Drosophila melanogaster: one gene and its partner. The protein of the gene in region 1 interacts with the protein of each later gene in a pairwise test. Each region holds a gene or a part of one and is shown on either strand. Other genes may lie near its edges. The genes, in order: CG4956 and fd96Ca.

Region 1 (3,374 bases):
TAAGAAGGCAATTCTATAAGCTTGTGACATTCGAAATTGCTCAGATTTTGTGTTCCTGCTAAAATTTTGAATCCTCTGTAAGTTAATTCCTCTGAGTATAAAGTGAATGGGAGCACTAGTATATTATTCAGTACAATCATAGTCATTTTTTTTAGCTAAACAATATTTTAATTGCAACGTCATAAAAAATATACTCAACATTGTTCATACCACGCGGTATTTCCCCGTCGATTATATGTGGATAGACACACTTTCATCTGGCTTTTCACGCAGGTGCTTTCCTGGCTTGAGACACGCACATATCTAATTTTACACATTTTCCAAACTCAATTACATTCCAAGAAGTCGCGCCGTGAGATCTGGCAGATATGGGCTAATGGGGGAAAGTTATGTGGGTTGCCCCTACCAGGTAATTGCTTGCAAATTACACAGTAATACTCCCGACCTTCCCAGGGAAATAAAAACGAGGGGAGACAAAATGTGCAAACTCCTAACTGCGAAAAACTTTGCGGCACAGCTGTCTGTAGTTGAGAGTCTCCGCTCGTAATGAAATCAAACAAAGACACCGAATGCGAGCTGACTGCCATGGGGGCAAAGCATCTTAAATTAGCAGCAAAACTCGGCAATTATGCGAGAACTTGGCCAAAAGCAGTTGCCAACTCCGCAAGCCATTCTCATTTTTTGTATGCCCCTCCACCTACACCAAGCAAATGCTAATGACTCGTAGTGCCCACAGAAAGTCAAAGAAAGAGCTAAGCGAAAGTGGGGGAAAGTCAAGCCACAGGTTGACTGACAAACACATCGACGGCGCCGAGTGGCTGCCGGAAATGGCTGCGTCGAATAGCAGCACAAAATGGCTGTTTGTTTGCTTCCGGTCTAGGCCAAAGACGGCAAACACATTTAGCCACGAAGTGAGGAAAGTCCCGCCCCGCCCCATCGTACATATTTTATGCAAACGAAAAGCAAACTGCCACTCTACTTTACGGCAAAAAGAAAAACCACCTCAATAGGTGTGCCATACACCTCAGTGAACTTAAAATGAAAAACCGCGTCCTCACCAGCTTTCCCACCCGACCAGGCCACATTCAAAATGCTTAGTTCATATTAATAATTCATAAAAATTTATGCGAAATAGACAACATTCGTTCCTGCGGTCTAAACCTGGCCGACAGCTGCCATTTTGCGGTCGCTGGGCTGATGAAGTCGACTTAACCCAGCTGTTTCCTACATGTATTTGATATGCATTCCTCGTTGTTTTTATTCTGCTCTTTGTTTATACAACATACAGCTGCTGCAAAATACCATATTTTGCCATGCTGATGCCCTTTTTCCCTCCATTGTTTTTTTTATTTCAATTTATTTTCTGCTTATAAGCTTGCTTTATAAGCAAGGTTTTGCCTATACTGCTTTGAAAATGAAGTAAAAATTTGAGAAACTTTTAGGTGAAAACATTCCATAAGCCAAATCTTTTGAATTGTAGAATTCACTTAGAAGCGCCACTTAAATAAAAATTTTCTGCCTTCACAAATGACGCCAGCAATTATAAAACGTAATTTCGCAATAATCCGCTTAAAAAGGAAAAGAAATTGAATTTGAAACCACCCACCAAAGTACACATACATACAATGCCAGATTTTTACAATTCAGTGGGTGATGCGATTATGTCAGTTAGATACATATTTCCAAATCAAGGCAGTTCTGGTGCCCAAAGTCTATTAAAAATAATTTATTTGATAAATTTAACAATACGTCTGTCATTTATAAATGCTTCGATTTCGAGTTTTATTAAGATCTACTTGCGGTTGGAGTAGAAGAATGTGTTTTCGAGCCGAGGAAGGGTTTCATCGTCACTTTCAACTACATCGCATAAAAGTTATGGGCCTACTTCATCCGTTTTGTGCAATATTTTTACTCTGTCTGATTGGATTGCTGTTTGTCTATGAATTATGCTACGTTTTGCCGCAAATAACTGATCCCCATGGTATATGGCACAAATTGTGTTGGTTTATGGGAATTTATACAGTCATCAATATATTGGGCAACTGGTGGCTCGGCTGTATGACCAATACCTCAGTCGATAGCTTAGTTCTGGAAAGACAGTATCCTGTGGCAGGTGAGGCTCACCTGTGGCACTACTGCTCCACATGCCAAAAGCTGGTGCCACCGAGGTCCTGGCACTGTAGTTTGTGCAACATTTGCATTCTGAAGCGGGATCACCACTGCACCTTCTTTGCCAGTTGCATTGGCCATAAAAATCAGAGGTATTTCCTTGCCTTCTTGTTTCACCTGAGCTTTGGCAGCGGACAGGCGCTCGTCTACAATGGCATTTTGAATTGGACAAACAAGGCCTTTTTGGTCGTCGATCCTTTGTTGCTAATGTTCCAGGATACAACCCAAGATGCTGATTTCAAATGGAAGTACACAATCGCCAACCTTTTCAAACTGAATTTATTTCTTTTTGGCGTCCCCCTCTTCATGTTCGTCTTTCAAATGATAATGGTATATCGGAATAGTACATGCTATAAGATGCTCGATCGCAGCTATGATGTTGGTTGGAGAAGAAATTTTGATATGGTCTTGGGAAAACGGCGCTTCTGGATTTTTTTCTCTCCAACGATCTCAAGTCCTCTTCCTACCGATGGCACTCAGTGGTTCCAGAAGCAGACAGTGTAAATTTTGTTTGTAAAAACTTTGAATATAAGATAGCGAATAAATTCTATTATAATATGTCGGGTTGGCGTTTCTTCTTCTGTGATGTAAATGTTTCTATTTAGTCTATAATTTACAACAGAAGTTTTCAAAATCCTAAAAAATGTGCTACGTGAATAGATTTTGCCATTACTTTGCCAATCGCTACCCGAAGAACTTTGTGAGGATAGTGCATCCACTTTCGATAGTTTTCGTCCTGTGCAGCACAGCTTTCTTCTTCTCACTGCAGATGTTTTACATTGCGCCCAAAGTGTTTGGCGACATTGCTTACAAGCTCTACTGGATATTGGTCACCTTCATAACGCACAACATACTTGGTAACATGCTGGCCTGCTATATGACTAGCTCATCGGTAAACACCTTGTCCAAGGACTCCCGATGCCCGAATCCAGAGGATGAGCCCCTGTGGCACTATTGCGAATCGTGTAAAAAGCTGAGATCGCCACGATCCTGGCACTGCGTTTTGTGCAACACCTGCATTTTGAGACGGGACCACCACTGTATATTCACGGGCACTTGCATTGGACACAATAATCAACGCTTTTTCTTCTGGTTCACATTTTATTTAACGCTCGGCTTAGTCACAAGCTTTGCAACATTTTGTATGTTTATCCTGCAGAATGGCGGTAACTTCATGAGTCTCTCGTCTGTGATTTTTAATTTAA
Region 2 (4,638 bases), 700 kb from region 1:
ATTAATTGGCATGGGTGTGCTATTCTGGGTTTTTTGAAATTATTACAAATATATGGAACACTTTCTATCTAACAATAAATGAAGATAGTTATAATAATAGTATTATGTGTACTTTATGCTAATTTCTGAGCCCATCTTCGCTATTCCTCAGAACTGGCAACAAAAAGCAGGCCAATAGTTCATGTGATTAAAATTCAATTATACCACTGAGCAGCTATTTGCCACTGCTTAACTACTCATTTGCCTTCGTGTTAGTCAGATATCATTAATTTACACTTGGTGAAGAACAGGAAGAATGCAGACTCATTAATAGCTAATGCGATTTAATACACCCATCCGCGGGATTGCGATTTGCTGCTCTATCGGGCGCACTATTAAAGACAATTATCCATCCTAGTGTTAAATCGAGTCTCGCCAAATCGCGCTGCTGCCCCATCAGCCCCATGAGCTCCATAATCCACTGATGGCCCATACCCATGCCCATACCCATACCCATACTGATGCCCACACCGAAACACAGAAAACACTAAATACAAAACACAAAATACCAAATACAAAATACAGGCCCAAACCCACACGTTCGCTGAATGCGGTGGCAATGTGCTTTGGCTTTTACGTTCTGTGGAATCATGGCCGAGTCGCAAGCAGGCAAATTAACTAACAAGATTATGAAAACGTAAAATCAGTAAATCGGTAAAGTGGTTGTAATTTTCTTTTTCAACACCTCTCTCGCATTGGGCCGTTAGCCAGTCGCGGCCTGGCCAGAGTCCCAGTCCCATACCCATACCCACTTCCAGTCCCAGTCCCAGCCATGGCCAGAACCAGCTGCCGGGGCGGCTGCTCTTTTGTCCGGAGCAGCAGCAGCAGCAGCAGGAGCAGCACCAGCGCTGAGGCAGCGGCAGCGGTAATACCAAAGGCAAAGCTAAATAAAACCGACGAGATACTCCCCTCGTACACGGCGAGAAATCGTGTGCGCTTTCATTGAAGTGCATGCAAGAAAGCTTTTGAAAATTTATTCCTATGTTAATAACTTCAATTACAAACAGCGGCTAGTTGCATGCAGAAAAAGCTTACTTTTTACAACATCTTATTTATGGTACTGGTAGTAATAAACTTAAGCAATAAAACAGTCAAAAGTTTAACTAGCACAATAATAGATTTGTATTTGATTTATTATTATAATGGATTTCTGATTTGGGAAAGCCTAACCACCAATCTTTTAGATGAACCTTGCACGTGAAGTCCGAATTATATGATCCCCATATAAGGAAGGTATAAATAATAAATAAATAATTCGAAAAAAGAAAATCCTTTAAAAAGTTCTGACCTTTATCAGTATAGCAATCAATATGTTATAGGCCTCATAGCATAAGTATTTAGATAGCAGGACTCATACCTTTATTAAGAATATATGATGCAGCACTCGTAGATCTAAGGGATTGTCGAACTCATTCGCTCGTTTAAACTTCGAATAGGGGTATGGGTTTTTCGGCCAGTGTACCGCCTAGCCGCAACCACCGGCGGGTCAGGGATAGGGGTGGTGCAGGGGCAGGAGCTCTCCGCTGGAGCGGCGCAGTGCGGTCTGGTCAGACTGGTTTATTCGTTTAGTAAATCTCAGACTCTTTGCTTTGGCTCTCCTCGCCGCTTTGAAGTTTCGCCGTGGCGGAGGGATGATGCATGTTCGCATCGCGGTGATTGGGAGAGAGCACGGGGGCAATGATGTGAGTGATTATATTTTGATTGCATTGCTCACTGTGGTTGGTTGTACGTACGGACCGCGGAGGACTGCAGACCTGGACGACTGCAAAACTGGAGGACTGCAGAACTGCAGAACTGCAGAGCTGGAGAACTGGGGACGGCATTGCTCACTTAGTACAATAACCGGCACGTCGTCTGCCAGTCTGCTGAAACAGTAATTTTTTGTGTGCCGTGTTCTTCGTTTGTTGTCGTTTGTTTTGTTCCCGCTCTATCGCTATCTTCGCCCCAAGTTCGCCCCAAGTCCGCTCCAGCTTTATAGCCCACCACCACCATCACCACCGCCGCTCACGTATTCGCATTCAGCTTTTGATGGTAATTTGCCAGGCAGGCGGAGGGCGGCAGTTGGAGGGCGGCAGGGCGCACAGTCGGATGGGGAAACCTCAGTGAGAGTGCTTTTCCTTCCAGAGTGCCAGTGCCAGTGCCAGTGGCAGAGCAGAGCTGAGCTGCTCCAGTGGTAGTGGTGGTGGCGAAGCCAGTGTCGTCGCCGGAGCTTATAACGAGCGTAGTTCTTGCGCAGAGTTTATTGCCGACAGTTGGCGCGATCTTGTTTGCCGTCGCTTCTTGTCGCTATCTCGTCCATATCACACATCGCCATGCCGCATCGCCACCGTGCCCCAAATGGATGTTCCTCGCTAGCAAATCCACTAGCTGCTCCCGCTTATGTTCCTGCGACGGCACGCGGCATTGCTCCTCATTGCGCCGCATGCGTTTAGGATATTCATACGTTTGACGGACGAAAATAATACGAGTGATTAGCAAGTGCTTGAGTGCATTCATAAATCAAGTTAGCCTGCAAATATGTAACACTGTGATGTGCGGAACAAATTGAGCCGAAAACATTGTGTAATAATGCCCCGGCCCTCGCGAGAATCCTACGGCGAACAGAAGCCCCCCTATTCGTACATTTCGCTAACGGCCATGGCCATCTGGAGTTCGCCGGAGAAAATGTTGCCGCTCAGCGATATCTACAAGTTTATCACGGACCGATTTCCGTACTACCGCAAGAACACCCAGCGCTGGCAAAATTCGCTGAGGCACAATCTCAGCTTCAACGATTGCTTCATCAAGGTGCCCCGACGGCCGGATAGACCCGGCAAGGGAGCCTACTGGGCACTGCATCCGCAGGCCTTTGATATGTTCGAAAACGGCAGCCTGCTCCGGCGGAGGAAGCGCTTCAAGCTGCACAAGAACGACAAGGATCTGCTCAACGAGGAGCTGACTGCCCTGGCGAACCTCAATAGATTCTTCTTTACCACCCGTAACGGAGGCAGTGCAGCGCACATGTCGCCGCTGGATATGAACAATGCGGCCGCCATGAGACTGGATCCACTGCCCAGGAGCACGGCGCACATGCCAAACTCCCTGGGTCCAGGTGTGCCACTGCCGCACGTAATGCCCGCCTCCATGTCCGGTGCGGATCACACGAATCTGGCGGACATGGGACTGACCAATCTGCCCGCGCTAACCAGTTCCGAGATCGAGGGACCGCTGAGCCTGCGACCCAAGCGATCCTTCACGATAGAGAGCCTGATCACGCCCGACAAGCCGGAACATCCGTCGGAGGACGAGGACGACGAGGATGACCGCGTCGATATCGATGTGGTCGAGTGCAGCGGTATCAGCCGCTATCCCACAACGCCCGCCGCCTCCGAGGAGTATATGTCCGCCAGCCGATCGAGCCGAACGGAGGATCCCCTGCCGCCGATGCACACGATCAACGCCGGTGCCCACGTGCCGTTTCTGCACTATGCCACGGGTGCCAATGTGGCCGGACTGCCAGCGTCGGGAATACCCAATAGCCCCACCACCTACGAGCTGGCCATCTCGCATCCGCTCTTCATGATGGCGGCGCCCATTGCCAACATGCACAACATATACTACAATAATGTTACCCTCGTCGCTCCGGCGCAGCAATATCGGAGCCCCGAGGTGCAGAATAGAATAGACAACGATATGCGTACGATATAGATAAGTGGCAACAAGCAGGGTAGTAACGAAACACACCTATGTACTATATAGCATTATTTATGAACGATATATGTATATGTATATTTATGTATGTATATCCATCCAAACGTAGTTCCTTTTGTATTAAGATTAATTGTAATAGGACCAAAACATATGGTATACATTCATAGGCGTAGAAAGGCTTGTAAATACAATTTTATTAGCTTGTATCACATATCCGTATTAGTAAATTATTTATTTTATTTTTATCGAACCTAGTGCATAGATCGATCCTTTTGTGAAGAATATAAACATTTAAACAACTTAAAGAAGTGTTTAGAAAAATCGAGCGGAAACAGTGAAATGTAGTGAACGTAAGTAAAGTTTAGTTATCTAGCTTTTTTTTCAACTTTAAGATCTTCACCCAGCTTTATAAATGAAATCCAGTCTATATACATTTTTAGCCCCAAAAAGTATTTCAGTTATGGCTTCGAGTTTGTTTGACTTATTCAATTATAATCACATTAAAACGATTTTATATTTTATAAAAGCGGTTCTTAATTGAATTCTAGAATATCACAATTTTTTTTATTAAATTTCGAAAATCGTGTCTTTTCAAACAGGCTTAAGCTTCTTTGGTTAAATCTGTAGTTTTTCACAAAAGCCATTGAGATTATAAATATTTTGGAAATATTCCAAATCTTTAGAAAGTTTTTAGCAATGTCCTTATTCAAAAAACGGGGTTCTTCTTGTTACAAAAGTAAGTGTTATATATTTTTCTGTCTTTTAAAAAGGAAGTAACATCATTTAAGATTTGGTTATATTTTAATCGAAACATAAAACGAAATTTTTCTGAGAAATGCTTTTTATCCCGCTTGTCCCTTAACTTTTACTAACTTTAAAACTTTTATAACTTTTTATTAACTTTTTTTT

The links.
Region 2: the proteins of CG4956 (region 1) and fd96Ca interact in a two-hybrid assay, tested with the Drosophila melanogaster proteins (one large-scale study listed by BioGRID).

Annotation. Positions count from the first base shown.
Region 1 is NT_033777.3:25,776,620-25,779,993, reverse strand, and holds CG4956 (uncharacterized protein), read left to right. Parts: upstream 1-1,688; 5' UTR 1,689-1,764; coding exon 1,765-2,673; 3' UTR 2,674-2,726; downstream 2,727-3,374. Other genes in the region: CG17195 (uncharacterized protein), read left to right, coding at 2,813-3,374.
Region 2 is NT_033777.3:25,080,945-25,085,582, forward strand, and holds fd96Ca (forkhead domain 96Ca), read left to right. Parts: upstream 1-1,739; 5' UTR 1,740-2,607; coding exon 2,608-3,726; 3' UTR 3,727-3,934; downstream 3,935-4,638. UniProt on the Drosophila melanogaster protein: Involved in development during embryogenesis.